Struthio camelus: one gene and its partners. The protein of the gene in region 2 purifies or fractionates together with the protein of the main gene of each other region. This does not show direct contact. Links are inferred from orthologs where the notes say so. Each region holds a gene or a part of one and is shown on either strand. Other genes may lie near its edges.

Evidence for each region.
Region 1: the proteins of BCL7A (region 2) and SMARCD2 purify together in Homo sapiens (affinity purification with mass spectrometry; 5 studies listed by BioGRID and IntAct, counting the BioPlex papers as one, with this or other methods). This does not show direct contact. The link is inferred for Struthio camelus from reciprocal best matches to the Homo sapiens genes BCL7A and SMARCD2.
Region 3: the proteins of BCL7A (region 2) and SMARCD1 purify together in Homo sapiens (affinity purification with mass spectrometry; 5 studies listed by BioGRID and IntAct, counting the BioPlex papers as one, with this or other methods). This does not show direct contact. The link is inferred for Struthio camelus from reciprocal best matches to the Homo sapiens genes BCL7A and SMARCD1.
Region 4: the proteins of BCL7A (region 2) and SMARCC2 purify together in Homo sapiens (affinity purification with mass spectrometry; 4 studies listed by BioGRID and IntAct, counting the BioPlex papers as one, with this or other methods). This does not show direct contact. The link is inferred for Struthio camelus from reciprocal best matches to the Homo sapiens genes BCL7A and SMARCC2.

The regions. Positions count from the first base shown.
Region 1 is NC_090966.1:2,793,576-2,801,257, forward strand, and holds the start of SMARCD2 (SWI/SNF-related matrix-associated actin-dependent regulator of chromatin subfamily D member 2), read right to left. Parts: upstream 3,189-7,682; 5' UTR 3,174-3,188; coding exon 3,000-3,173; intron 1-2,999. Other genes in the region: zinc finger protein GLI4-like, read left to right, coding at 5,469-5,511, 5,955-6,029, 6,906-7,136, 7,221-7,682. UniProt on the Homo sapiens protein: Involved in transcriptional activation and repression of select genes by chromatin remodeling (alteration of DNA-nucleosome topology).
Region 2 is NC_090958.1:17,699,112-17,706,499, reverse strand, and holds the start of BCL7A (B-cell CLL/lymphoma 7 protein family member A), read right to left. Parts: upstream 3,307-7,388; 5' UTR 3,135-3,306; coding exon 3,043-3,134; intron 1-3,042.
Region 3 is NC_090969.1:1,483,554-1,491,108, forward strand, and holds the start of SMARCD1 (SWI/SNF-related matrix-associated actin-dependent regulator of chromatin subfamily D member 1), read right to left. Parts: upstream 3,240-7,555; 5' UTR 3,225-3,239; coding exon 3,057-3,224; intron 2,898-3,056; coding exon 2,710-2,897; intron 1,853-2,709; coding exon 1,810-1,852; intron 1,703-1,809; coding exon 1,580-1,702; intron 1,271-1,579; coding exon 1,148-1,270; intron 1,005-1,147; coding exon 888-1,004; intron 559-887; coding exon 457-558; intron 360-456; coding exon 198-359; intron 84-197; coding exon 1-83. UniProt on the Homo sapiens protein: Involved in transcriptional activation and repression of select genes by chromatin remodeling (alteration of DNA-nucleosome topology).
Region 4 is NC_090969.1:554,860-562,242, reverse strand, and holds the start of SMARCC2 (SWI/SNF complex subunit SMARCC2), read right to left. Parts: upstream 3,225-7,383; 5' UTR 3,163-3,224; coding exon 3,052-3,162; intron 2,854-3,051; coding exon 2,734-2,853; intron 1,357-2,733; coding exon 1,271-1,356; intron 911-1,270; coding exon 829-910; intron 744-828; coding exon 651-743; intron 565-650; coding exon 495-564; intron 260-494; coding exon 190-259; intron 43-189; coding exon 1-42. Other genes in the region: RNF41 (E3 ubiquitin-protein ligase NRDP1), read right to left, coding at 7,206-7,383. UniProt on the Homo sapiens protein: Involved in transcriptional activation and repression of select genes by chromatin remodeling (alteration of DNA-nucleosome topology).

The DNA of each region.
Region 1 (7,682 bases), on a different chromosome or scaffold from region 2:
CCTGAAAATTGCAAAAAAAAGAACAGATCGTATTGATTATACCCGCTCACCCCTCCCACTCCACGGCAGCTCCGCGCACAGATTGCCAGCCAGACACCATTCCCGACACTCGCTGCCATCGCAGACTCAAACAACTCCATAGACCTAGCTGTGTCCTGCCTTCCTGCGACTCCTGTTTACCAAATACTGCAGTTCAACGACATATGCTCAGTGCCTCACCCTATGCCAGCCATACGCTCCGAACACCTGCTTTGATCGCGGTGTTATGGCCGGCGCGGATGGCAGGAAAGCATATGTTAGCCTATTTACACGAAATGAGAGCGATGAGTGACTCCCGGCTGCTCGAGCCAGGCACCCGGGCTGGGTTTTGCAACCTACTGCATGGACGGTCAGGGTAAATGAGCAAGATCTCTCCCAGCCCGAGAATCCTTTGAATCAAGTTACAATTGCAACCGTTGGTTAATGCTCAGATTGGCCTTGAATATGCCGTCTCAATTTTCACTTCAGGGCTCTTCCGTGTTTTAAGGCTACTCAGGTTGTTTCCTCATTTTGTATTAATGAAGTTTACAAGTTGGAAGCTCCCTTGGTTTGATTTTTTTTTTCTTAAGTTTTCATTCATGCAAATAATGTGGCAGCTCTGGAGGTGGTGATCAGTAGAGATTGAGAATCTGTTGCACAACTGGGCTCCTCCATTTCCAAAGAGCATCTGGAAGAAATCGCTTTAAATCAGAAGCCTAGCCTCTTCAAAATAATCACCATGTGCACAAGAGCCAGCTCACAGACAAGCCGCGCATGCAGTGAGAAGCGGAAACTTGAGTATCAGTTAAAATATACTCTTCATAAAACATATTCAGGCAGAAAGTAGAACAATTACACTGGCTCTGGCTTCTCCAGGGCTGCTCACTGGTCAGATCTACCTTCAAGGCACTTGCATGTCTCCATTTTTCCCCCTCAAATTAACAAGCACCTGCTCTCCTCTTCCATCACCTCCTTGTCTCTTCAGCTTCCTCTTGCAAATATGCACCTGCTACTTGGTTATGGTTACCCCTAAATTTGCAAAAGGTGCATATAAACATGTTTCAAGGGAGCTCTGCGCAACAAGAAATGGCTGTGAAGCTGGAGTTGGACATATGACTTCTGCTTGGAGTGGCTTGTACCTCCTCTGCTCCAAAATTGTTTCTTCTCAGCCCAGCAGATGAACAGCCAGCGGTCCCTGAGTCTCACCGCAGCGCAGATAGAGTTACGCACCTTGGCTCCTGCTGGGTGTTTACAGCAGACCCGAACTATCACTCTGCTGCTACAACAGACAAGATTTGCACAGCAATGCTGCCAAATATTCAGCTGCTAGCAACTTTTATGGGGATTTTTAAGCAGTTAGAAACCATGAAGAATAAGGAAAGATGGAGCATGCAACCATTCTAAAGGAGCTGGGCCCACTCTAGTGAGCGCAGGGAGATCTACTACCTGCTGAAAAGCAACAGAGTTGCTCCTGCTGGAGCAGCAGAGTTGTGCTAGGAGATGAAAATCTCAGAGCATTTTCTGGAAACTCACGGAGATAGGTTTGGAAGCAGCTGCCTTCATTTCTTTCCAAAATGATTACTATTCGAAAACACGGGTCTTATTGTGCCTCAGTTACCTCATCTGTAACAGCAAAAGACATCGACCCCTCACTGGGCATTTGCTCATAACTACATTTATTTAAAGGGCCTCAAAAAAAAAAAAAACATTAAAAAAAAAAAATCAGGAAACGCAGCCCTAGTGTGCTGGTCACATTTCCTCCGTCCTAACTGCCAAGGCCATATGCAGAGCAGCCACTTTGCCAACTTACTCCTTTCCCCTGGTCAAAAGCGCCCCCGCAAGGGACGGTGCAGCTGAGAAGCTGCTAAAAAGCACATTCAATCCCCGAGCGATTCTCCACTGGGAAAGCAGAGGGGATCTGGAACATATAAGAGCATGGTTGGATTCAAGTACATTCCTGCAGCATGTTTCATTTGTCCCCCACACACACATTCCCCAAAAGACAAGAAAAAAATTAAAAAAAAATAAAAAAAAGGATATTCTTCCTGCCTCTACCGAGCTGCTAACACGGCACCCTCGGAGCTGCCCGATGGACCTCTCCAGACACCACCGCCAAACAAAGCCATCGAATCCCCACGAGCGCAGGCCAGGCCACGCTTTCAAGCGAAAGTTTGCCCTCCGGCCTCTCCCCACGGCCCCTTCGGGGGGTACCAAGCCCTCATGGGGAAATCACAAAGGGACTTTGGCCAAATTCAAGACAGAGAATTTTAGCATAGACCCTGGGTCCCACGAGAGGAGCGGGACGGATGGTAAACGGCACCTAGGTATGTCCTGGGCAGGGATATCCGTCTTCTCCCAGCTTTGGGCAGGACCAGGCTTCTCGTGAGCTGGTCCCAGCAGCGGGCAGGGAAACAGCTCCCCAGCTGCACCCACCGACGAGCAGGACCTCGGCACCGGGGCCGCTGGAGCCCCCAGAAAGGGGAAGAGGACCCGGATCCGGCCTCCCTGGTGCCTGTGCCCAGCAACAAGGGGCCGAAACGGAGATGCTGCGAGGAACAGGGTGGCCCCAAGACACCTTGTCCTGAGTGGGGCTGGGCTAGCACCCACAGGTGCCTGGGAAACTGTCCCCAGTGGGGCCTGGCCAGCACCCACTACTGCCCAAGGAGTCTATCCCCAGTGGGGCCAAGTCAGCACCCACCCAGGGAGCCGTGCGACGTCCAGTGGGGACGTGCCAACATCCACCCGTGCCCGGTACAGGGCCATGTCCCGAGTGGGGACCAGCACCCACCCGTGCCCAGCGAGCCCCACGGCACCACGTCCCGAGCGCGGCCCCGCCAGCACGCACCCGCGCCTGAGGACCCGCCTCGAGGGGAGCCGCGCCAGCGCCCACCACCCGTGTCCTGGGAGCCCCGCGGCGCGGTGTGGCGGCCCGCGCCCGCGCTGCCTCCGCGGCTCCGCCACGCGAGGGGCCGAGGCCTCACCTGGTACTGCGCGGCGGCCGGCCCCATGGGGCGGTAGCCCGGGGCGGCGGCGGCGCCGGCCGGGGCCGGGCTGGGGCCGCGCAGGATTCCGGGCGCGGGCCCCGGGGGCGGCGGGGCGGCAGCGGCGGCGGGGGGGGGCAGCGGGCTGAGCGGGAAGGCGCCGCGGCCGGCCATGGCGGCGGCTGGCGGCCCCCCGCCCGCGCTGTTTACTCGGAAGCGGCGGCAGTCGGCGGCGCCCAGGGTCGGGAGTCACCGCGCGGCGCCGCCGGGCCCCGCCCCCTCGCCGGGCCCCGCCCCCGTCCGCGCCGCTCCGCCCCCCGCCTCCCCGCCGGCGGCGCACGTGGCCGCGGCGCGCCCCCGCCCCCGCGCGCCTGTGTGTGTGTGTGTGTGTGTGTGTGTGTGTGTGTGTGTGTGTGTGTGTGTGTGTGTGTGTGTGTGTGTGTGCGTGTGTGCGTGCGTGTGTGTGCGTGTGCGTGTGCGTGCGCGCGCGCGCGCACATATGCATGTGCATATGTATGTGCGCGTGCGCATATGTGCACACATGTACACATGTGCGCATATGTGTGTTTGTGTGTGTGTGTGAGTTGTATGCATGCGCCTGTGTGTCTCTCTGTGTCCATATGTATGTGCCTGTGTACATATGTGTGTGCACATGTGTGTGCACGTGTGCATGTGTGTGTGCGTGTGTGTGCATGCACATATGTATAGCCATGCATATATGCATTTGTACATGTGTGTGCACATGTGTATGTACATTATGTGTGCATATGTGTGTGTGTATATGTGTACATATGCATGTTTTGTGTGTGCACGTGTGTCTGTGTGCACACATATGTGCACGTGCCCATGTGTGTGCCTGTGTTTGTGTGTGTGCATACGTATGCCTGTGCGTGTGTGCGTGCGTGCTGCCCATGCACCTGGGCGTGCAGGTGTGCGCACATGTGTGTGAAGGCCTGTGTGTTTCCACGTGCAGGTGTGTGTACGTGCGCAGGCACATGGAGGTGCATGCGTTTCCTCAGGCAGGCGTGTGGGAGCTGAAGGCATGCCTGTTTGGGTGTTCAGGCCTGGGGGTGTGAAGGTGCGTGCGTTGTGGCAGTGTGGGTTTGAGGCCAACCGTGGTGGCATGGGAAGGTGCGCGCACGTGCAGGCGCGCGTGTGTGCAGGTTTGTCGGTGTGAAGGCCTGTGCGTTTGCACGCGCAGGCGTGTGTGTGGGCGCGTGCAAGCATGTGCGCGTGAAGGCATGTCCATCTGCACGTGCCGGCCTGGGGGCATGAAAGTGCGTGCGCATCGCTGTGTCTGCGCGCTTTCTCTGTGCGGAGCGGCTGCGCGGGCAGCGGGCCGGCGCGGGCGTGCCCGGGGAGCCGGCGGCCTCGGCGCCCCCCGGACGCCCCCGGCGGGGTCACGCCGGGCTTCCGCCGGGCGGCGGGGGCGGCGCGGCCGCTAGGGGGCGCCGGCGCGGCGCCGCGCCCGGCCGCTCGCTCCGCCCGGCGGCAGGCGGCAGCGTTTCTTGGGCCAGCGCCGCGGCGGTGCCGGTGCCGGTGCCGGTGCCGGTGCCCGGGCGGGCAGAGCGGCGCCCAGGGCAGCTCCGCCAGGTACCGCAGCGGCAGCGTCGGGGCCAGGCGCGGAGCGGCGGCTCCTCGGCCCCAGCGCGTTGCGGCTCCGGCGGGGGAAGGGGCCGGGGCCGGGGCTGCGGCGGCCGCGGGGTCCGGCCTTTGCCCGCGGCTCGTCTCGCTGCGAGCCGGCCCCTGCCGTGCCGGCCGTGGCGGGCCGTGGGGCAGGGGCCGGCGTGGGGCGAGCGATGGAGGTGGGAGCCGGTGTGGGGTGAAGAAGGCTGCAGGGAGCTGGTGTGGGGCAAGAGATGGCAACGGTGTGGGGCGAGGGATGGAGGTGGGAGCCGGTGTGGGGCGAGGGATGGAGGTGGGAGCCAGCGTGGGGTGAGGGATGGAGGTGGGAGCCAGCGTGGGGCGAGGGATGGAGCTGGGAGCCGGTTTGGGGCGAGGGATGGAGCTGGGAACTGGTTTGGGGCGAGGGATGGAGCTGGGAGCCAGCGTGGGGCGAGCGATGGAGGTGGGAGCCGGTGGGGGATGAAGAGGGCTGCAGGGAGCTTGTGTGGGACAAGAGATGGCAACGGTGTGGGGCAAGGGATGGAGCTGGGAGCCGGTTTGGGGTGAGGGATGGAGCTGGGAGCTGTCGTGGGGCAAGGGATGGAGCTGGGAGCCAGCGTGGGGCAAGGGATGGAGCCGGGAGCCGGCATGGGACGAGGGATGGAGCTGGGAACTGGTTTGGGGCGAGGGATGGAGCTGCTGTGGGGTGAAGAGGGCTGCAGGGAGCCGGCACGGGGCGAGGGATGAAGTTGGTGTAGGGCGAGCAATGGAGAAGGATGCGCTGGGATAAGCTGATGTGAACAGCGGCTGCTCCGCTTGCAGGTGTCAGAGGCCCCGAGTGGCCCCTCGGCCCCGCGTGGCCCCATGAACGTGGTGCAGGACAGCTATGAGTCAGTGATCTCCCTGGGTAAGGCTCTCCCGTGCCTCCGTGCTCCTGGACCGCAGCAGTGATGGTCACTGGGGACTTTCTGCAGGCTATAAATCCAGCTGTGGCCACCGTGACACCCGCCTCCTGCAGGGCCGCCTGCGCCAAAAGGCGGGGAGCATGTCCACCAGCCCTCGCTGTCACGGGTGCAGTGGTAGCCCAAATTCATTGTCTGTGCTCGTAGCGATCAGGGGGACTGCTCCATCCTGCTGGGACCCAGTGTTCATCCTGGGCTGGCGCTGCCTATCAAGAAGGGCTTTTTGTGCTGCTCCATTCGGTGGCAGCAGTCTGACCTTGCGTTGTATTGCTGGCCCCCGCAGAGATTTTGCCTTTGGTTTTCCGCTTCCGTTCATGGGGGTCAGGAGGAGAAGTCTTTGCAACTGTTTCATAACTGTTTCTGTCTAATTTGTGCTGCTTTCTGCCAGCGGAAGAGATCGCCATGAGCTGGCCACGAATATGTGCCTTTGCAGAGCCCCCCAGGCGCCTAAGCTTGCTGTGCTGTAAGTTGTCGACCAGGAGGAAAAAGCCACGGCCTCAGTTATTAGCCCATCTGCTAGAAGGTCCTTTTCGGGCCGCTCTGGGAGCAGGACGTCCCCTGCTGCATGCGCTAGGGTGGGTCTGGGGCAGCAGAGGGTTCACAGCCACAAGCATGGGGCTCCCAGGGACCCTTCTTCACCCTGCCTGTAATTTCCCCTTCCCTGATTCCTTGTGTTTTCCATGCTCCCACCCTGGTGCCATACACCTTGTGCCTCCTGCCTGGAGATGCATGCTGGGCTGGCAGAAAGCCCTTTAATTTTATAATAACTCTCCTTAATTTTATAATAAATAAATGAGTAGAAAACTAATAATGGCTACAGAAAGGCCAGATTTTCGCTTTAAAAGAAAGCTTGTCTGCAAAGGACCAAAAAAAAAATGTTGCCAGCTTGGTTTTGAACAATGTCTACAGCAGAGGTTGATTAATTTATTCGATCTGAAAGGTGGACATTAAAGTGGATGTTTAGAATTCACCGAACAAAAAAGCAACTGTTTCTTTAACTTCCGCAGCTTCATAAGCTGTATTCTTGCCCCCAAAACTGGTGTAAAGAATGATATAAAGAGGGACTAAAATCCCTGCATTCCACTTCTGACTGCAGAAAACTGTATAGCTGTTATTCAATCTGGTCAATACTTTACTTATAGCTTTAAATTTTTGGACATTGACTTCTGGTAGAAGAATCTGCCTACTGATACAGTTTAGTTAGGACACCCCAGCCATATTTTATGCTAGCAAATAACGGGAAGCTTATTCCAGTGAACTGTAAAGATTTCCTTGTGGGAATATACTTGTCATAAGATATATGCAGTTGTCCATCACCAACACCTCCTTTGCTTTGCAGATGTTGACATGGAGCCACCCCGGGGGCAGCTGGAGCCGCCGCAGGGTCTGGCAACGACCCCCTGGAGCCAGGGGCTGTTGCTGCCCGATTTCCGGAAGCAGCTCATGGCCATCATGCAAACCATCGGCCAGAGCCAGGTGGAGAAAATGCTACGGGAGCTGGTGAAGGAGCAGAAGCAAGAAGGGAGAGTCCAGTGGTGCCGCAGGCCCGTGAAGAGCCTTGGCAGCGGAGGTACAGGGTGGCAGAGCAGGGACGTGCTGCAGGTTTCTGCTCTGCCCTTCTTCCCCGCAAGACATGCGTTTCTCTCTGTTGCAGCAGGCAGCAGGACTCAGAAAGTGAAGGAAGAAGCGCCTCCTCAGGACGGCGGCGTGGAGCCGACGGGTGCCTGGGGCATGTTTTCAGGGATGCCCAGAGGCTCAGAGCAGCACCCAGCCCTGGCAGCCCAGCAGGGCCCTGAAGAGGCACCCGAGAGCCCTCCGGCAGCCCCCCATGGCAAACCGGCTCGGGCGGGAGCCCTCGGGAAGGCCAGAGACGTCCCAACCCCTCCAAAACGCTGGCCAGAGGAGCAGGGCCGAGGCTGGGGGGCCGGCTGCAAGGAGGGCTGCGGTGGGCAGTGCGACGCCCCCCCAAAAGCTGGCAGGGGGCTAACGGAGAGACCTCGCTGCTGCCCTGAAAGCGAAGAGCTCTCTGCCTCGTCTCCGAGCCCTCCGCTGCGCACGGAGGCTGCGGAGCGCCTCCAGGTCCAGCCTGCACCCGTGGGGAGCCCCCACGAGTGCC
Region 2 (7,388 bases):
AAAAAGGTAAAATGACTTATGCAAAGACATCGCAATTCAATGACAGGACAACAGAATAAGATTTCCTCATTCCTGGTGCATTCCCTAGATCAGGACACTTGTCCCAGTCAGCCACACCGTGCCTCCATCCTTAATGTTTGCACGGCTGTCCGAAAGTTCAGAAATCCTAGTTACCCACGCAAATCATTTCACTGCCTCCTTAGACACCCAACTACTTACACTTGTATACTGCCCACTATGTGTTCTCACCAGTAAAACTCTCTGCATTTTCTAGCATTTAATAAATCTTTTATAAAAAAAGAGCATTTCCATTATTTTGTAATGCTGGCTGAGAACGCAACAGTTTTCACCCCTTTCTGCTTGAGGGCCTGTTTAAGACCTACATATACTTGCCAATCTTTAAAACAAAAGATAAGCCCATATTGTTTATAATTCATTAAGTTAAATTTAACTCAGATGACTGTTTAATAGACTGGAAGAAACGTGACAGCTATTAAGAAGAAGTAGGTCTATGCTCTTAGCCATGGAAATACAGCGTTCTGCCACACAACCATGTATTTTGTAGGAAACATATTAGGTGTCTTCTAAAATAAATGCTCATTCATGAGAGTGATTTAAACGAAGGAGATTAGTTTTAATCTCGAGATTAACAAAACTATAATAACTCCACCGTTTACTATTATAAGTCAAGTTCCAGTAATACCAAAAGTGCTAGGCACGATACAAGCACGCATGAAGACAGGTGCCTGCACCAAAGGATGGATTTCTGTCTAAGAAAGAATTCATATTTCCTACGGGACAAACTCTGTACTGATGGAAACTCACTTCAAATAGGCATGCACACACACGTGGCAATACAGGCACACAGTAACACTCTACAACAAGGAGAGTTGCTGCTGCACACCTTCACCTACTGATGGGAGTGCTGGCCAGCACGCACCAGGGCCGCTGTCAGTTCAGAGAGGTTTGCAATACAGTCTGCCCCGCTTCTGTCTTCAGTGCGGAAATGCGACATGTACAAGTCTCAGAAAATTCTGTTCTATGAAACACCGTATGCAAGGTTTTTTAATCCTCAGTGGCTGCATTTCCACAGAAAAGCTGTGGATGGCAACAAATTGCTCCTATTATGCAAATGAAACTGCACACTGAAAATTGCCTATGTGGCTCTTCGTAAGATATAGGAATTGCTAGCGTATAAAGTTCAGTTTCACAAGTCTTCTCAAAACATCTGAACCACAAAACATAGAATCTCTCTTGCTAATTTTCAATGTACTTGACTGCAAGTGAACAGGGGGAAAAATAACCATGAGCTATACCAGCAAATTATTAATTCTTTTAAAAATATGAAAAATGGTTTGTGTAAATACTTGCGAGATGCACACGCAAAAAGCCATATGAATACTTCTGACCGTAATCAGAAGAAACACTTCGCATGATTCTGTACAGTAACCTTTTCAAACAAGCTCTCTCTCAGGAGGGTTAAAATGTACAAAATCTATTTATACCCTAAGATTCCTGTTTTATAGGGGAAGCCATAGCAACTGACATGATGGCAGAAAGCCCTTGCCAAGAGGAAAAAAAAAAAAAAAAAGACATTTTCTTGAATGGCCAAGCTCCTGCCTCTACTCCTCTCTGAAATCCACCAACTGGGATTCAAAGGAAACGCACTACACTCATGAATGAGATATCTACAAATAAAATAGTCCCACACATCCAACAATACTACTCTGATTAAAAAGTACTGCCACATCGCTATATAGTTTTGAGCCTTCCTAGCTGGCCAAAGAGTCAAAAAACAACACTTGAAAACATCACCAGAGAAGAAGAGAGTTCCTGAAATCAGCAGAGCTGTAATCCTCCGACTGCTTCGCTCCCTGCACAATGGAGGGATTCTCCGAAATCCCCATCTCGTGCCCTGCATTACGGGACACACATTTTGATTCTTTGTCCAGCTCAAGCCAACTGGCCCATTCATGTGCTCAAGGCCATTTAAAAGGCAACAACCCATTTTGCCAGGATAACACACACATTTAATTTCTGCTTCTTCTTCTTCTTTTTTTTTTTTTTTAATGAAATCAAAGTATTTAGCTGTGGATTACAAGAAAAGTGCCCCCTTATTTTATCAGGTTCAAAACAGCTACGCATAGGAAGAGACTTGCTGTGGATTTCACACGTTTACAGGAAGATTTTAAGATGCATGCACAAAGACTACTGAGCAGTCTACTTTTTGGAAGAAAGATCCAGTCTGGGCTCACACCGGCACGGCTCCTCATCCCATCCCAAAACACTAGACTGACTGCGCCCAACACTGCCATAACTGTGTTCCGCTGTATTGTTCCAACGCCTCGTGTTGATTTTGACAGGAAAAGCAGAAAAAAAAAAAAAGGCAAAAAGCGTGTTTCAAAAAAAAAAAAAAAAAGGCCAAAGCACTTTCCAGGCCCAACAAAAGGGAACGCTTTCGCCGGGGGTACAACCTCCAAGTGCACAACTTGGAGCCAATCCGAGCAGCAGTCGCGCCCTCCCCCGCTCCCGCTCCGCTCGGGATTCACGGCCCGACGGCCCCGCGTGGGTGCGAACCTGGGGGGACGGGACTTTTTTTTTTTTTGGGGGGGGGGGGAAACAAAACAACTCTTGGAGTTGTTCAGTGCCATTTTTAACGCTTCCCCCCCCCCCGCCCCAAACACTTCTCCAAGCGGCAGCTCCACGCGAAGCCGCCGGGCGCCCAGCTCGCCCCGGGCCCCCGCTCAGGGGAGGGCGGCGGCGGGAGGAGCCGCCACCACCGCCGTCCTTTCCCCGCTCTCCGGGGCCGGGAGCCGCGGGGCAGCGGGCCGGGCGGCGGCGAGGGGGCTCGGCCGCACAATGGAGCCGCCTCCGGCCCTCACACGCCGCCGCCGCCGCCGCCTTCATGTGACTCGCCGGAGCGAAATGGCTTCTGGGTGCCGGCGGCTCCCCCGCCCCCCGCGGCCGCCGGCGGGCTGCGGGCAGGGCGCGGGGGGCCGGAGGGGGCGGGCGCGGGGTCCCGGCGCGGCGCGGCCCGCTCACCATTTGCGCACTTTCTCGATGGCCGCCATCACCCGCTTGATATCATCCTTCGCCCGGCTCCGGGTCTCGGCCCGCACCGACCGGCCCGACATGCTGCTGGGAGGGGGGGAGGGGGGAAGGGGGAAGGGGAGGGAGGGGGCGGCGGCCGCGGTGCTCGGCTCGGCTCGGCTCGCGGCTCCCGTCCGTCCGTCCGTCCGCCCGCCCGCACAATGCTCCCTGCGCTCGGCTCCGCTCCGCTCGGCTCCGCTCGGCTCCGCCCGCCCGCCGGGGCCCGCGCACTGCGCACGCGCCCCGCGCCGCCGCCGCCGCCGGCAGCAGCAGCAGGAGCCCGCGCGCGCGGGGCCGAGGCGGGGCGGGGGGGGGGGGAGGAAGGGGGCGGCGCGCGCGCGGCAGAGGCGCCGCCAGGGCAGCGCGCGCCGGCGGCGGGCCGGACGCCTGGGCCCTTTGTTGGTGGCGAGGGGCGCGGGGCGGGGGGAGCCCGGCCGGAGGGATAAGGAGGAGCCGGACTCCTGGGCCCTTTGTTGGTGGCGAGGGATATTGGGGAGGGGGGGGGAAAGGAGAGAGGCCCGGACGCCTGGGTCGCGCGGGTGTCCCCGACGCTGAGGGCGTCACGTCCCCACAGCGAGGCCGCGGGGACAAACCGGGCCAAGGGGGAGCCGGGCTGGGGCGCGGGGCTGCCGCCGGCCCCCCTCGGCGCATGGGGGCTCGGCGTCGCCCTGGCGCGGCCCGCGCGCCCCACCAAGGGCAGGGGTCGCCTCTCCGCGCGGCCTGGGTGCCTGCGCTGAGAGGAAGATCCCCGGGGTGCTCAGTCTACGGGGTGTGTGTGTGGGGGGGGAATTCAGCCCGCTTGGCCTCAAACTTTGTTCTTAGCACACCGGATGCTGGAGCGTAGCCACCCCGCGAGGCGCGAGGGGGATATCCGAGTGACAACTGCGTCCAGCCCTTGTGCAAGTGGTTGTGACACCGTTTTGCAGACCTCGAGCGCGGTGACTGGCAATGCTTCCTGTTAAGCAAAACATCTGCTTTGTTAAACAGCACGTTTAATAAATCCACAAAATGCAGATTTTTTTTGCAGAGTCTGTAAGGCTTCTCAGCTGCCTAAAGTGCTTCCAAAAGCTTCCATGGAATTAGGGCGATGTAAAGGGGGTGAGGATCTGAGCCAGCACAGATACACGGGAGTGTTTGCGCATAGAAGTAAACGGGCAGAGAGAGCTACCTGCGAAGTCATGCTCTGCAGAAACTCTCTAACCTCACATACCCTGGTCACTGTGCTACTGGACTTCTTTATTAACTTGTACCTAGTTGTAACGTCTTGCTGTTTGTGCTAACTGAACAGCCCCAGATATTCTACGGTAGGTAACAGCAGTCTCGATTTAATAAACATTGCCACTGAAAGGAACGCTTCTTAAGGGCCTACATTATTATTCAAATTGATGCTGAGGAAGATGTAAAGAAGGAAGCGCGTTCAACAGCTCTTCACTGATCTTTCTACAGCAACTTATATCAGCTTCATTACACTGTTTATACAAACACTGTAAAATGCTGTCCCATTGGTATTACACTACTAATTGGAACTACTACTTTCAGAAAGAAAAACACAAGTTGTAAAGACCAAAATAGAAACCTGGTTTTAATTTGCATCTCACTGTTCCTTTCTTTACTGAGGGCTGAAGGATGGATTACTGATGGATTTATTTGTATAATTACCAATCCGTTCTGATGTATTCAGGCATTTTGTACATTACATTTATCAATGTAGACAATCCATATAATACTTTTACGTCGCTATTTGACTGTCAGGTTTTACAAATAAACATCGCCTCAGCATGATGAAAATAGACTGCATCAGAACAGCTTCATCTGGCACAAACCCACCCTAAAATGAATTCTGGGAAGATTCTAGCCAAGAACAGGGATGATCAATGCAAGAAGATAATGCACCGACTACTCTTTTATTCTTTGCAACCACCCCTGCGATTCTGTACATAGTGATGTTCTCTAATGGCTCACTGGACTACAAGATAGATGTTTTTACAGCGGAGTCTTCATGCTGCTCTCCCAGAAGATCACTTCAGGACGGCACCATGTTCATTTAAACCACTGTTTATTAACTTCCCTGCGAAAGGGTATTAGGAGTGTTGGCCATGCCTGAATGGCAGAAATACTTCCACTGATGATCTCCAAATCCAAACTTTCCACAGTAGCAGTACAGAAGGTGGAATACTAGGACCGTGCTTGATTTGGGAAATAGATTTGATCCCACAGGTTTGTGGCCTGCGCTAAACCAGGGGTTAGACAAGTGTTTGTTCAGTCTGAAATTATATTGCCTTTATTTTTTCATAAATGCAAAATACAAATTTCACAGATACTTGAGGAGAGGAGATTGCAAAGTAGGAACGAGTAGAAAACTTTGTAGCAGCTATGCTTCCGAGCCTTCGTGGATCCAAGATTCATCTCTTTTTTCTGTTCTGTTTTTTTCTGGTTCAGGAATAGGTAAGCCAAGAATGTCAGCAGTGAATATCTCTGCTGTGATTTCATCTGGAATTTCTTCTTCCAGTAAAGCTGCTGCACCTGGAGAGCAGTAACAACAACACCAACAACACAAAACAGACAACAGCAACATAAAAATGGGTTTCCACAGAGTAAGGTTTATAAGCAGCAGTTAAGTGGATGGAATGTTTTGAAGATGTCTGAAGCGATCGTGAAAAAGGATTGGCTTAGCTTAATACTTTATGCCCTTATACTTATGCCTTATAAGGGGACAAGCTGTCAAATCTGTGAGGCTGACAGCCTCATCCTGCAGTAAATACCTATCTCAGAAAAGTCACGAGAACAAATGGAACTTTTACACTCCGCTGATTTCACTTGGTTCTAGGATCTTACGGAATCCAGGGATTTCAAAGTTGGTTTACAGCGCTAGACAGTTCCCTTCAGAAGAGGTACCTTCGAAGCCCACAGGTCCGTGGGCTGACAGCCCTGACCGGATGCTGTTCCGGACTGGCGTGGACTGGGACATGAACTGTATAAAAATGTGGTACTTTGCAGCAGTTCCAATTAAAATGGGCAATGCTACTTGGATGAAATCAACACTATAATTTGCTATTCTAGACTGGTGTAGACTGGGACATATATTGTATACAAATGTGGTAGTTATCAACAGTTCCGTTATAATGGGCATTACTGCCTGGATGAAATCAACACTATAATTTGCATATTCTAGGATTCCCTTTTGCCTGTGGACTTTGGCATGTAAACCTTCCACTGTGTGCTTCTAATTTCAGTTCCAAGCCAGCAGATAAACACCAATGTAATCTTGTCAGGTCCCAGGTACATCTCATTGCTCATTTATTTTTATATACACCCATGCAATGGTTGCATGTATCAAGGACAATCTATAGCTCTATGGCTATTTTTGCAGTCCTGTCGGCATATTTTTGACAGCTCTTGGCCTAACAGGGTAATAGGTTTGCAATTTAAATTACTCTGTTGGGGAACCGAAGCAATTCTACTTCTGTGTTGCGTAGAACGATAATCCTGTGTACCTGAGGTATCGGAGGTGCCCGGTTTAGTTATTCCTCCCTCTGGATTCATGCCCAGCAAGGTAGTCAGACATGCTGCCAGCTCTTCTTCTGTCATATGCTCTCCTGTACAATAAAGCGAAACCAGTCTCTTGGGTTATGGTATCATTAACACAAAAACTAGCAGATAGCTCTAACAAGAACAGTGTACAAACAGAATAGGGTAGTATGAAGGAGGATTTGGTTTCTGTGAGATGCAGACCACATCACCAATGGAAATGCATGATCCCAACACAGGAAAGCGTTGATCCGAGGGAAAATTGTTCATGTATACTGTGCGTTTTGGCCAAACATATTTATCAAAGGGAGAAATTGGAGCCGTTGCTCCAACTGGAGCCGTTGCAGACGGCTTTTTAGGTTAGGTTGCACTTGCAAGGGCTTGTGCTTCTATTTCCACTGAAGAGCCCCTGGCACAGGACAGCCCACAGTCCAGGTAGCCCAGTGTCCGTGGCAGTAGCCAGTTCATCACTCAGAGGAGGAAGAGGAAGGTGTGGGAAAGTCTTTAATATAGTATCCCGGAATAACCTGAATGCAGCAGTTGTTCCCAGTTAACGGTTGCTCATGCCCTGAAGCATAAGGTTATAGATCTGTTATGAAATTGTTCTAGCGTGTCTAACGTATCTATTTATGGGTGTTCACACCAGCCATAGAAATAGCTACCCTTTCTCATACCGGTTGAATCCTTGGTTTCCAAGCATCTTTGTGGCAAGGAGTTTTACTAGTTGATGGACTGAATGAAACAACTTTTCTCTTCACCTATTTTAATGC
Region 3 (7,555 bases), on a different chromosome or scaffold from region 2:
ATGATGATTGGTTCTGGGGGCATAAGCAATGCGTGAAGTCTTTGTGGGATTTCAGAGAACTTCATCCGCTGAGATTCAAATATCTGTGACAGAAACACAGGGCTAAGGGAAGGAATGGGAGCTCAGTGCCAGGGATCACTGGCTGCTAACAGAGAAAAGCTGAAACAGTCACGTGTTCCAGCCACAGACACTGTTACCTGCTGGAGGTATTTGTCACAGATGACATACTCCCGCTCATGGGGGTCCTGGAGCTTGTGGGTCTTAATATATTGCCACAATGCCTGGATGATCACTGGACGGGTCTGAGTGTGGATCCCCAAGAGACGAGCCAAGCGGGGATCCAGTTTGAACTGAGGAGGCTGAAACAAAAAGCACAGAAAGACGAGATAGGAACGCGGTGACAGACAGGGCTCAGCAAACACTACCGGCCCAGCAATGTTGTTCCAAACAGCCTACCTGGTAATCGAGCATCAGGAGGACAGTACAGCGCACATTTACATCTCCCGGCCTCTTCACCTGGAAACCATCTGTCTCCTGAGTTGTAGCAGTCCTGTGCCACTGGGGGACACAGAACAGGAGAGTGCGTTCAGTGGCACCCCTAGTCTTTGTTCCCTTTGCTCCTGCTGGGTACCCAACATGCTTGCTGGTAACCCCCACCCACCTACAGAGAGTTAGTCTCATTCCCATATATAGTTTGAAGCAAGAGTTAATGCACTTGCTCAGAGCCCCAGCAAGTCAATGGAAAAGCTAAGATAAGACTTCAACAGCTCCTAGCTCCCAGCCACTTGTTCAAGCCACCACTACCTCTCGAGACATGAATGACATGCAAATTCTGTCTGCTGAACAACAACCCACTTTTAGAGATAGTGCAGCAAAAAGCAGCTCACCTCTACCAGGTGATTGTCTGGGCCATACAGGTCTTTATCAAGTTCAATGACCAGAGATTTAAAGAAGGATGAGAATTTTCTTTTCTGTTTGGTGGCATCATATTTGGACAAAGCAGACTGCAAGCAACACAGGAAGGGTGTTAGGAGAGCTAATCTCAGTACTCGGTGGTGGACCTAGAGCCCCAGTTAGCTTCTTTTAACCGGAGACATCAATGCTTGTCTCTTTCCCTCCCCAAAGGGGTTGGGTGTCTCACACTCACGTCTTCCAGCAGCCTTCCTTCTACCCGAAGCTCCCAGGAGGCAACTGTGCCTTCACCATCCTCTGCATCTGACTTGGCTGGGTTGAAGGTATTGGAGATAAAAATACGTAGCTTTCGCTTTTGCTAAGAGAAAAAGCATCAGCTAAATGTTAATTTTGAAATAAAGGATCAACTATATTATGTTTTGCTAAAACTAAGAGGTTCAGTATCCTTATCTATTTCATATTCTACCTCTCCCAGGACGGGCAGCAAGGAAAGAGGAACATCAGGCCTTCCTGGCTCTGCTCCTCCGTTGGCATCTGGAGTACTAAGGTTCCTGATACACTGTGCTTACAGCGACAGGACCCAAGTTTCAGTGCACTCCTGCTCTCTTAACTAAGGTAAGAGTCTCCAGTCCTTGCTTACAGTAACATTGAACATAATCCTCTCTACCTTAATGGGTCGCTTCAAGGCCTCTTGGATATCCAAGCGTTTCCGCATGATCGTCTGGTCCAATTTCCTTTCGAAGGCCAGTAAGTCCATATAGGCCTGAGACTCAGGTACAAGTTCACGAATCTACAGCAGAGCACAAGCCAATCAAGAATGCAAGTCACCGTTAACTCCCCCACACTTCTCCGATCTACTGCATCTCAACAGAAGCTGCGAAGGCACATGCCACTCACCCTCTGAGGTAGAATTTTGTCAGCCATCTTCTTCTTTTTAGCGCTGTTAAGGAAGGAGATGCACACACACATGCATTAAAATGGCAACCACTCTGTCCTATGTAACTGCAGGCATTCGTGAAGGGCGTGAGGATGACGGGTTATTCTCTGGTTTAGTGCTGCAGCATTAGCAGTGCTCTTAGCCTGGGTGCCAGCCGTCAGTCCAGCCTCTCATTTTCAGAGGCACTTACTGCTTCCAGTCCCCACACGCAGGCAGGCTCTTTACTCCCCACAGCCCCTGCCCCACGAGGCAGCCAGTGCTGCAGAGCTGACAAACGCTGCAGCACCGTGACTAACCAGTTACCTGAATGCTTCGCGTCCCCTCCGAGAGCTCGGGAAGTGGGGTTACATCATGTTGAAAGGGGCATGCTGACATAATATCGGGCCAAAGTGACTCTCAAGCCTAATTTAGCTTCAGTTTGACATGCTTTAAACCAAGAAATGAGTTAACAATGATGCTAAGGCTGCCATTATACTGCCAGAAACGTAACAAGCTTGCCCTTGTCTAGCAGCTGCACATTAACGCTTTTATCGGCTGGAAGCTCCCCTCTCCCCAACAAGTAGCTGCCCAAGGAAGCTCAAGTCCCTTTGAGCCGCCCAACAAAAAGCGGCAGTGAAAAGCCCAGGCACGGCACGAAGGCAGCGCGCCCCAGACCCGCCGCAGAACAGAAACGCATTGTGCTGCCGGGAGCAGCCCCCGCAGAGCCGTGACCGGGATGTCCCCAGATCCCGGGGCACGGCAGAAGAGGGGGGCGTCACCGGCAAAAGCCTGCACCCCGGGGGGGAGCGGGGGGGCTTTAAGGGAGGGAAGGCGTCCCGGTGGCCGGGGGTGCCCCGGTGGCCGGGGGTGCCGCTCCTTACTTGTGGTTGCGGTTGGGCACGGCTTGCGGCTGCACCTGCTGGAGCTGCTGCGGCGCCGGCCTCTTGCGGGCCTGGTCCAGGCCGGCCTGCGCCATACCGGGCCGCACCGCCGGGCTCCCGCCGTAGCCCGGCGGCCCCATGGAGGGACCTTGCGGCGTCAACCGGCTACCCGGGAGCATCCCGGGGCGCTGCGGAGAGAAAGAGACCGGTTCCAGTGCCCGCCGGGCGGCTCGGGGTGGGGGCAGTGCCCGGCCCGGCCCGGCCCGGCCCGGCCCATCCCCGCCCCGCCCCGCCCGGGCCGCCCCGGATAACGGCGGCCGCCGCCGCCGGCCCCTCCCCCGCCTCACCGGGTAGGCGGCTCCCGGCAGCGGCGAACGGTACAGGCCTTGTCCCGGAGCCGGGCCCATGCGCACCGGCCCACCCGGCGTGCCCGGCCCCAGGGCGGCGGCCCCGGCGGCGGCCCCGCCGCCTCCGCCGCTGGGAGTCACCGCCTGGAAGCCCGCCCGCGCCGCCATCTTCTCCCAGCACAAAGGGGAGCGGGCCGGAACCGGACGCCGGCCATAGAGAGCCCGCGCGGGGCGTCGAGCTAGAGCGTCGCCGCCCGCTGCCGCCCGCCCCCTGCCGCCTGGAGGTCCGCGCTGCCGGGCCGGGCGGAGGAGGGGGAGTCTATAGGGGCTCCATGGGGGGATGCAGGGGCTGGGGGGAAGGGTGCTGGGGCCACGGGGGGGCGTTGGGGGGCTGTGAGGGGTGCAGACTCCATGGGGGGTCCATGGGGGGATGCAGGGGCTGGGGAGGAGGGTGCTGGGGCCATGGGGGGGGACCATGGGGGGATGCAGGGGCTGGGGAGAAGGGTGCTGGGGCCATGGGGGGGCTCTCAGGGGTGCAGAGTCCATGGGGGGATGCAGGGGCTGGGGAGAAGGGTTCTTGGGCCATGGAGGGGGCGGTGGGGGGCTGTGAGGGGGTGCAGAATCCATGGGGGGATGCAGGGCAGGGGAGGAGGGTACTGGGGCCATGGGGGGCAGTGGGGGGCTGTGAGGGGTGCAGAGTCCATGGGGGGGTCCATGGGGGGATGCAGGGGCTGGGAAGAAGGGTGCTGGGGCCATGGGAGGGCAGTGGAGGGGCTGTTGGGGGTGCAGAGTCCATGAGGGGGCTATTGGGGAGGGCTGTGTGGGTCTTTGGGGAGGGGTGCAGCATCTGGGAAGGGTTGGTGGGGGATGGGGGGGTCCATGGAAGGCCATAGGGAGGTGCAGGTGCCATGGGGTGTCCATGTGGGGCTGTGGGAGGTGCAGGGTCTAGGGGGCTGTAGGAGGGAGCAGGGACTATGACGGGTCCATCAGGGTGCAGGGTCCATGGGGTGCTGTGGGGGGAAGGGTGCAGGGTCCATTGGGAGGCTATGGGGGGTGCAGAGGCCTAGGGGTGTCCATGGGGCGTTGTGGAGGGGGTGCAGGGGCCATGGGGAGCAGTGTCCTTGGAGGGGGCCTAGAGATCTATGTTTCTTTTATTTTCTTTATTCCCTTTACGTCCCTCCAGCTCACAGTTTGCTGTATGTCATCCCCCTTTGTCACCATCTGTACTGTCACGGAGGGGTGTCTGGGGTGGGAGAGGCAGCTCTGTGTGCCAGGGGCTCTGATATCCATAGAAAACCACCTGTAAGACACTTTCCAGCTCCCTAAGCCCTTAGGCTGGCAGCCCCTGAGCTCGTCTACCTGCCTCAGCTGGCAGCACACCTTGCTCTGATCTCCTCTGCCCTCTTCCAGCTGGGCTGGTTTCCCCTGCAGCCCTCAGGGCTACTGTGCAGGAGCTGCTAGAGCCGGAGCTGCTCTGGGGCTGAAGGGGGTTGGGGTATGAGTCTTGTGCTTGGCTGGCTTTTGACGGTAGCGTTGGCTCTTACAATATCTACCTGTTGCAGGAGATGCTGGTCTGGTCCTGCAGCCTCTCTTGCCCTGGGGTGTGCCCCGAGGAAGGTTGCCTTGCCTGCGCCCCGGAAAGGAGGACTCTGAGATGCCAAAGTGGCGGTAACGCCTCTCACTGGAGCTGCTGTCCTTAACATCTTAAGAAGTAAGCATGTGGGGGCATAAATGGATGTGCTTTTATATCGGTGTGAATATATATGTCTGCGTCAGTATGTTGTAGCTGAAAGACTTCGTCTAGATGGTGATAATACTCCACAGAGGTACAAAGTTATCCGAAATAGCTCCTCACAAGGTCATGCCAAATTACTCTTTGCATATGGATAAGTGTGAGTTAATGGAGGGACTTGGAGGATGTTCAGAATGGGATTTCTGAAAGTGATTTTTCAAAGGCTGGAGGCAGAAACCTCCTCCCAGTACGTAGGGTTTGAACCTCGGTGGTGACTGGATAAAGAGGGGGACTCGTGAGTATAGACCACCAGGTTTCACTGTGGGTTCTGCCACTGATCAGGTAGCCGGGGCCTTGTTTGTTCAGGTTTAGGCTGAACAGCCAGGTAAAGGGCTCCGATCTCCCTCAGCAGCGGCTTGGGCTGCTACAGGCAGCACAATGTTAGATTTAAAGGCCACTTTCTGCAAGTATTAGCATTAAGCTCCCTATTCCCTAGAGCGCTTCCCCTTGTGGTTGCTCAGAGAGAAAAGGGACATAAATGCAGCCAACGTTAATTTGTGGGGGAAAAAAACCTAGGTGAACAGTCACATCACAAGCACTAATTAAACAATTAATGATCATGGATCATTTAGGAGGATGTCCTGTACAGTGCATGGCATTGTCAACTGAGCAAAGAAGTGGGGATGTGTTGGTACCTTCTCTGCCAGATACGGTATTTCCTACCCTCAGTGCTTTGAGCACAGCCTATTAACTGTTGTCTCAGCATCCGTGTGTCCATGCAGTTAATTTAATGCCACCTCTGACAGGCTTGGCGCCCAGCTGCCTTATGAAATATTCATGGGGAGGAAAAGCAGCGGAACTTATCTGCTCCGTATTGTTTGGATGCAACTTTGACTGAGACTTAAAGCCTGGCAGGATGGCAGGAGCCTTTTGGGCAGGCTGGAACTGCCTGGCTCTCCTGGGAGAGACAGAGTGAGGAGCTGTGAAAGCAGCAGAAAGCAAGGGCTAACCTGAGAAGTGGAGAGAGGGAAATGGGAGTCAGATAGCTGCTCAGTTTGGCACAGGGAGCTGCAGGGTCTTGAGAGCCCCGGTGTTGCTTGAGCTGAGCTGGGAGCAACCCCAGCTCTCTGTCCCCTGTTATTAGCTGTATCCCCTAAGAAACACCTTCCCCCTTGCCTGTGCCCTGAGGGTTTGGTTGGTTCACTCCTCCCAGTGGAGATGGTTTGTGTGATGCTACCCCGTGCACCTTGGTTTTACTGCACCTGCTGGCGCAAGGCAGCTACTCTGAAACCTTCCTCCCCAACCCGTATGGCTCTGGCTCCAGGCAGCCAAGCAGCATCCAGGACTGTGTAATTATATCTCAGCGCCTGTTTCTGCTGGCAGCTTTAGCACTGAGCAAGTGGTAAGCGGGAATTACTGCCAGGGAGGAAAGGAGGTGATGCTATCTCTGCCATGGTTTTATGCATCCTGCATGATTAATCCTTGCTCTGTAGGGTTTCAGCAGCCACACGATCTGCGAGGTAAACACAGCAGTGTGCAAGCAGGTGCTTCCCAGCGTCTCAGGCCTAGGTGTGTCACATCTCATCCTCACGTAGATCATCAGAGATGCTTCCTGCGACGTGTAATTAACTGTCTTGCGCGCAGCATGAATCTCGTGCAATAATATTGAGTGACAGACGTGGATGAACACGCATGCTGCCTTTGCTACGCACCTTGCAGGCTGCCAGCCTCACGCAGTGCACCCATCCGTGCACCACAGCCCCCCTCAAGGCTCCCTGGCCAGCGGACACTGCCCCGGCATGCTCTGAAGGTGCACAGCTCGCTTGCGCAATGGAGCCTTGAATATGGAAACATACAACCTGTGCACTTCGTAACAGGGCTGCTCACATTTGTGTGCTGTCTGGCTACCTGCGGTACTCCCAACGTGCTCCCGCGCCCAGCTTCTGGGATGGGAACTGTCTTGGCTGTGCCACCTTTGGGTCCAGGCTGTGCCTTGCAGCACAGACACCATTTCGAGCGCAGCGGCAGAAACGGCTCTGCCAGCCGTGCTGAGGCTGGGGATGTTCCTGCGCAATGTGAGGCTGTGACAGATGGAGGGGGTGACCTGCTCCCAGCAGGGTTAATGGGGAGCTGCGAAAGAGATTACAGCCCTCAGCACCAGGGCTGCTGCCTGCCCCCTGCAACAGGAGCTGCTGTGAATGCCACTGCGGAGGGAGCACGCGTGGTCAGCTGCCCTGGCTACTCAGTGGCTGGTTGCAATTAATTTAGGTTCATTAACTCCCTTCTGGCAGTTAGCTATATTATCTTGTTCCTATTCAAAGCCCACCCTGTAGCCTATGCAGCACCGGCTCTGGCAGAGAAGGACCAGAGTAGCAGTAAGTCAGTTCTAGTTTAAATGCAAAACACCCGGCTGCCATTTCCAGGAGCAACAGGGGCATGACCAGAGCCAAGTGACCAGAGGGAGTTTGGCATTTCAGTATTCCCTGCCCACTCACTGTTATTCAGTCTGTGTGGGGTCCTGAGGGCTTTTTCTGATGCACAGTGTTGGATCTGGCATGTTACTTTTGCTCTCTGCAGCTGGAAATCTTTAGGACAGAAACTGTGTTTACATATGGCTTGTGCTACAACTGCTACTAACTCTGTTAAATTAAAAGCAGGTGAGATCCAAGCCAGTGACTCATTTCTGCTGAAACTCAGGTGTCTGTCCCAAACCACAAAAGTGTTAGAGTTGTCAAGGATTAGCAGCTGTGCGTATGTTAATTCTCGT
Region 4 (7,383 bases), on a different chromosome or scaffold from region 2:
ACCGAGGCTTCGATCTCACTGGCGGGGATCCAGGTGTCGTAGCTGGGGAGCAGAGGGGCAGGGGTGAGAGTGGTGCCCTGAGGGACGCCTCGCTCACCGGAGGCCAGTGCATGGTGTCAGCCACATCCTGGAGCCCCTCCAGGAGAGCGGGGCTGGGCGCAAGCAGCGGGGTGCCCCGGCCCTGCTCACCTGTCCGGGTAATAGCCCCAGTGCAGGAGGACCTGCTTGTCCCTCTTCATGACCGGCCGGACCCACTCTTCTGGAAGACACAGAGGGAGGGAGCTAACTCAGTGCCAGATGCTGGCAGACTGGGGCATCGAGCACCAACCCCAGGCCGCAGCTTGCACTGCCGTGTCCCTGCTCTGCTGGAAGAACGGCCCTGAGACGCCTCGCTCAGCCCTGTCCCCCCAACCCCAAAACCCCACAGCATTTCTCCGAGAGCGGACGCTCAGCCCGAGCCACTCTCCTTGCAGAGGCTGGCACCAGGCACCCACCTTCCTCCAGGTTGCTAGGGACGGGGCAGACAACGTGGGACGCGTTGTTCTTGTCCTCAGTCACCGTGCCCTGCGAGGGGAGCAGAGGAGGTGGTCAGGCCATGAGGCTGAGCACCAGGATGAGGCCCACCCCCCCCTCCAAGCACTGCCACCTACCTGGTGTCTCTTGACTATGTCTTTCAGTTTGCTCAGGAGCTTGGGCTCGATCTCCTGGTGCAGGAAGATGTTGGGTCGGGCCAGGCAGTTGTTCTGGGGGAGGAAGAGAGCAGAGCAGTGAGCAGGGGCGAGGGAGCGGGGCCAGGGGCAGCGGAGGGCCGGGGGAGGCGCCCGTTACCTGCACCAGAGATTTCTCGATGGTCATGAACATCTCCACATTGCGGTCCATCCGCGAAGGATTCTGGAAATCGAAACGCCGCCTTATTGGAAGAAAAGAGCGACTCTCATGAAAGCCACAGCTCAGGTCTCCTCATCAGCTGTTCAAAGCCTGCCTGGGGGACAGGGAGGGGAGCACCCGAGCCCCGCCGCGGGGCCCTGGCTGAGGCAGGGGGGACTCTGCCCCGCCACCCGCTTGCCAGGGAAGTGGGCACGTTCAATGGGCCCGAGCGCACCCCCAACGTGGTCCCTCGAGGGGGACAAAGGGCTCCGACCCGCTCCCGCTCCCCCAGGCCCAGGACGGAGCAGGACGTGACGCCCTCCCACCCCACCCCTGCGGCCCCCCATCCTCCTGGTCCGCGGCCACCCTCCCCGCGCGGGGGGGCGAAAGGCGGGCGGCTCACCATCCTTGGTCGCTCTTGAACTTATAGGCCGCCGCCAGGATGTGGCACAGGGCTCCTCCCGCCTTGAAATCCAAGAAGCATTTTATCTGCAGCGGGAGCAAAGGAGTCAGGGCAAGGTGGGGGGGGGGGCACGGGAGGGCAGTTAGCTGGGGTTGGGGGGGCGGGGGGGGAGACACGGCGCCATGCCCGCACATCGGGGCACTGTGCCCGCACACTGGGCCGCCGTCCGTGGTGGTCTCGGGGCGCTGTCCGTGGTGGTCTCGGGGCACTGTCCCCAGGTCCGGGGGCGCTGTCCATGGTCAGGCCGTTGTCCTTTGGTCAGGGCGGGGCGCCTTCCCCGGGGGGGGAGGTCACTGGGGCACTGCCCTCCCCCCCCCCACCTTGGAGCAGCGTCCCTAGGACAGGGCGCAGACCGGGGTGCCGGCGGGACACGGCACAGACCGGGGTGCCGGCTGTCAGCAGGGCACAGCGCAGGGGTCACTGGGCTGCTGTCTCCAGGCGCATTTTGGGCGCTGCCCTGGGCCAACAGGATGCAGACCCCCCCCCTGCCTGCTCACGCCCCCCCCCCCCCGGCGTCCCTAGGCCACAGCCCCGGGGTTTCTTTGGGGTGCAAACCATGTCCCCAAGGTGCAGTCCCTGGCCGTCTTCAGGGTGCAAAGCTCGACGGGAGGGTGGGGGAGGGCGCAGAGCCGAGGGATTTTGGGGCACAGTTGTCGTGTTTTGGGAGTGCAGTGACTGGTGTCTCTGGGGTCGGGTCCTCGGGGGTCTCTGGGGCCTGGTGCCTGGGTTGGGGGGGAGAGGTGTCTCTGGGGTCCAGCCCCTCAGGAGGGGGGGGTGAGGGGGGAATCTCTAGGGTCCATTCCCCGGGAAGGAGATATTTGGGGCCTGGTCCTCCAGGTGGTGGAAGGTCTCTGGGGCTCAATCCCTGGGAGTGGTTGGTGGGGAGGTCTCTGGGGCCTGGTTCCCGGGGGGGGCGGTCTCTGGGGGTTTGGGGAGGGGTCTTTGGGGCCTGGTCCCTGGAGGGGGGGAGATGTCCCTGGGGTTTGGGGAGGGGTCTTTGGGGCCTGGTCCCTGGAGGGGGGGAGATGTCCCTGGGGTTTGGGGAGGGGTCTTTGGGGCCTGGTCCCTGGAGGGGGGGAGATGTCCCTGGGGTTTGGGGAGGGGTCTTTGGGGCCTGGTCCCTGGAGGGGGGGAGATGTCCCTGGGTTTGAGGAGGGGTCTTTGGGGCCTGGTCCCCGGAGGGGGGAGATGTCCCTGGGGTTTGGGGAGGGGGTCTCTGGGGCCTGGTCCCCGGAGGGGGGAGATGTCCCTGGGGTTTGGGGAGGGGTCTCTGGGGCCTGGTCCCCAGAGGAGGTAGATGTCCCTGGGGTTTGGGGAGGGGTCTCTGGGGCCCGGTCCGCCGGGTGGGGGGGGATGTCTCTGGGGCCCGATCCCCCGGGTTTGGGGGGGGGGGGGGGTCTCACCGGCAGCTTGGTGAGGGGCGCGTTGCTGACGTGCTTGCCGAACACCTCCTCCTGGAACTGCAGCAGCTGCACCACCAGGCTCGACAGCGACTTGTTGGTGGGGGGCTCGGCCTGGATGTACTGCACCGGGGTGGGGGGGGGGGGGGCGTGAGCAGGCCGGGCCTGATGTACCCCCCCCCGGGGGTGGGGGGGGTCCCCCTCCTCGGCTGCCCGCCCGCCGCCGCCGCTGACAGCCCCGAGGGAGGCCGGGCGGGGGAGGCCGCGGCGGGGCCGTGACAGGCCGGGGGGGCCGGCGGCGGCGGGGGGGGGCGGCCCTACCTTCTTGTAGTTCTTGCTGAGCCAGAGGCGGACGTTGTCGAACTGGCTGACGGTGTCCGAGGCCTCGTAGTACTTGACGTTGGGGCCGCCGTCCTTCTTCCGCACCGCCATCTTCCAGCGGGCCGGGCCGCGCCGCGCCGCGCCGCCGCCGCCGCCGCCGCCGTCACCGCCTCCCTCCTCCCTCCCCCCCACCCCGCCGCGACCGGCCGCCACCGCCCCCTGCTGGCGGCGGGGGGGGCGCGACCGCCCCCTGGCGGCCTGGGGGAGCCGATGGCGGTACCGCCCCCTGGCGGTGGAGGAGTCGAGGTGGTACCGCCCCCTGGCGGTGGGAGGAGTCGAGGTGGTACCGCCCCCTGGCGGTGGGAGGAGTCGAGGTGGTACCGCCCCCTGGCGGTGGGAGGAGCCGATGATGGTACCGCCCCCTGGTGGTGGGAGGAGCCTCGGCTGGTACCGCCCCCTGGCGGTGGGAGGAGTCGAGGTGGTACCGCCCCCTGGCGGTGGGAGGAGTCGTGGCGGTACCGCCCCCTGGCGGCCTGGGGGAGCCGATGGCGGTACCGCCCCCTGGCGGTGGAGGAGTCGAGGTGGTACCGCCCCCTGGCGGTGGGAGGAGTCGAGGTGGTACCGCCCCCTGGCGGTGGGAGGAGTCGAGGTGGTACCGCCCCCTGGCGGTGGAGGAGTCGTGGTGGTACCGCCCCCTGGCGGTGGGAGGAGTCGAGGTGGTACCGCCCCCTGGTGGTGGGAGGAGTCGAGGTGGTACCGCCCCCTGGTGGTGGGAGGAGCCGATGGCGGTACCGCCCCCTGGCGGTGGAGGAGTCGAGGTGGTACCGCCCCCTGGCGGTGGGAGGAGTCGAGGTGGTACCGCCCCCTGGCGGTGGGAGGAGCCCCGGCCGTTACCGCCCCCTGGCGGTGGGAGGAGCCCCGGCCGTTACCGCCCCCTGGCGGCCCGGGGCGGGATGGGGGGGGGGTCGGGTGGCCCCGCGGAGCGGCCGGGGCGAGAGGAGCCGGGGGCGGCCGGTGTTGGAGGCTCCCGGTCCGCGCCGCCCCCGCCGCCCCGGGCCGAGCGGGGCCGAGCGGGTCGGGCCGGGCCGGGGCGGAGCGGCGGCGGCGGCCGTCTAGGCGGAGCGCGGCGCAGGGCAGGCGCGGCAGTCACGGTGGCCGAGTGGTTAAGGCGTTGGACTCGAAATCCAATGGGGTTTCCCCGCACAGGTTCGAATCCTGTCCGTGACGCGACGGTTGTTTTTGTGGGGGCCACCCGGGCCCGGCCCGAAAAAGGGGCTGGTGCAGCTGGGGGGTCTCGGGGGGGGGGATGCTGTCAAAACCCCCCCCTCCCCCCCGGTACCCGCTTTTTATTTTTGAAGATGGGGAGGGGCAGCTCGTGCTGCATGGATGAGGCACAACCCCTCTTGGGGTGGGGGGAGCCCTTGCTGGGGGGGGGCACAACACCTTTTGGGGCGGCTGCAGAGCTGTTTATGGGGGGGCTGCTCCTGCTTGGGGGGCAGGCCCCCCCCCATGCCCCGGGGGGGGTCCCAAATCCTCAGACACCCCCGGGGGAGCAGAGCCCCGTCTCAGGGGTGCTGCCCCCCCCCCACCCCGGCGAAGGCCCGGGGAGCGGTCGCGGAGGGAGGACGCGGAGCCGGGGCAGCCGCCCACAGCGTCCCCGCGGCGGAGAGAAGCGCCCGGAGCGACGACAGGCTGCAGCATCCGGGAACGGCGGTTTATGTCGCGCAGGCGACACAAAAGAACCAGCGGGCGCACAGGCAGCGGCCGTCGCGGCTCCGCGCGTGCAGTTTTCCTGTTGGATTTAGCAGCTTTGTCACATTCCTGAGCACAAGGGACCGGGCTGGAGGACCCCCCCCCCCCGCCACTGGCCCCTCCAAACAGGGCGTCATCTAGACACCGAAACAAGTACAAACCACCTCGGACAACAGATTCCCACGCCAGAAAACATTCCTGCTGCGTTAAAAATACAGGATACAAACCCACAGTGACAGCAGGCCCTAGAGCCGCCGCGGAAGAGCCAGAAACGCCCCGCAAGAGCTGGCTGGAGCCGTGCAGGAGAGGGAAAGGGCCGGGAGGGAGGCAGAGCCCGGCAGCAGCGGGGACGCCTCGCAGCGGAGCAAAAGCCAAGCTGGGCGCTCGCGGTGGGCGACACTGAGCACGCGAAAGCCCACAAGGAAAAGGGGGAGAGCGAGGCCGCGCGCGGGGCTAGCGGGAGCGATCGTGCATCTGGCTCCCCGGCGTCGGGCACAGCAGGGCCAGGGAGAGAAGCTGGATGTGGGGAAATCTTCTTTCCCACAGCCATAGCAGCCTCCTCTCCCCTCTGTATCCCTCCGGGTGCCCTCTGCCTGCTCCGGCCCCTTCGAAGCATTGCTGCCGGGAAGGCCCCTTGGCGCAGAGCGGGATGCATGCAGGGAAAAGGGACCTGGGGCCGCTGCAGGAGAGCTACCCGAGCTCCGAGGCTGGCGTGCGCCCACGCGTCCTCCCTGGGAGAGCGCCGACTCCGCTCGCTCCCAGCGAAAAACACAGCTGCTGCAGGGGCAACAGAGAAGGGGAAAGGGAACTCTCTTGAACCAAAATACACGGGTGCTCTCCTGGCTTCTTCCTCCCGGTGAGCAGGGACAGCTGGAGCTCCCAGGAGGAGCAGAGACGCCCGATCCCGGCAGTGAGGATGTTGTCCGAGCCCCATGTAAAGCAATCAGAACGCTGTTTATTGATTATTTAAATCCCTGCCTCACAGTAGCCCACACGGGCACAGGAGTGAGCTGATGAAACCGTATCTGAGCAACACAGACACAGGAGGAGAAAAAGTACTGTAAAAAACAACAAAACAAATGCAAATAAATTAAATTCCCAACAAGTAAACGTAACCAGGTTCTGAGGTGCCTGTCCATGGTACTTCAAAAATAAAATAAGGGGGGGGTATACAAACAAGAGAGGCCAAAAAAGTACAAAAAATACAGAACCACAATCACAAGTGTCTGAAAAGTAACAACAGTAACAGTACAGAAAGCTCTTCGCGAACACTCAATGCACACAGGACAGACAGGACCGTTTCTCTAGGGCTAAGGACAACGCGTGGAGGCAACTTTAAATGGCACAAGATGCCTGGGCGGCCACGAGCCATTCGCTCGGGCAGGAGCATCTGCACGACGAGCCTGGGAGAGCCCGGGCTCTCCTGTCCGGAGAGCAGAGGGAGCCGGGGCCGGGCCGGCAGCGCAGGGCACGCACGGAGCGACGGCAGCAGGAGGGCGGCACGGCCAGAGCAGTTCTGAAGGGACGGTGGCATCCAGGGGCCGGGGAGCCCATCTGAAAGGCTGGTTCCTCCAACGCAGAGTCTCTCCCGCACGGGGGAAGGCCCCAGCCCTCCACCAGCGCTGGAGGCTCGTTCTCTCAGCAGCTCAGCTGCCTTGGCTCCAGCTGCCTTTAGGTTTCCGAGAGTTGCTTTGGGGCACTACTCACAGCTCTGTTCGTGGACTTGCTCCTGGGCTGCCTCTCCCCACCCCATGCCCCCTCCCCAGCCCAGCACAAGAGGCTGGGGAGCAAATCCTGCTGTTAAGGTACTGTGTGGTCAGTCAGGCATGGAAGGAGGCAAGACTTGAAGAAAGAGCAACAGAGAAACCTTTTAAGAGTGAGGCAGGAGGAATCCAGAGAGGGAGATAAAGCCCAAGAAGGATTTAGCCACTGGACAAACAAGAGAGACACCAGTGGCCATGGGGCCGGTCCACAACGAGATCAACTTATCCTTTCAGTTTGGGTTGCACAAAGAGCCAGGGCTTTGGTGGAGGCAGTAGCATCCAAAACGCAGGCTGGGTCTGAAGAGTCTGGCGGTATTCAGTGGAGCAGTTGTGCTTTCTCTCCCTCTCCCCCCTTGGAAAGACATTGCATGTAGAAGCTGATCTGCAAGGGGCAAACACGGATGGGCTGCACTGTGTGTTCACTGCTGGGCCAAGTGTTTTAAGTAGTATTTACCAGAGGCATTTAATCATTTCAGCTAGGAAGCAAGAGGCTCAAGGGGATAAGGCTCTAACAAAACCACACAGGCGGCTAGGGAACACCAGTGGTTTTGACCAGCTACTCCCCCAGTCCCTTCTGCCTCTTCACCTTCTCCTTCCTCTCCCCTTGTCAGCACGAAGCGTTTCTTGCTTTGAAAGTCCTTATATTTCCTCCACTCCGTGTGCAAATATCATCACCAGTCCTGGCTCTAGCACCATGTCCTCACCCATGTGCTGGTTTTCACAGGCCATCACCACCACGGCCTGCTTGCCAGGGATGCGCTTGGCCACATAGTTCTCGTAATACCGCCGGTTCATCTGGCGGGTTTCCAGCGTGGCC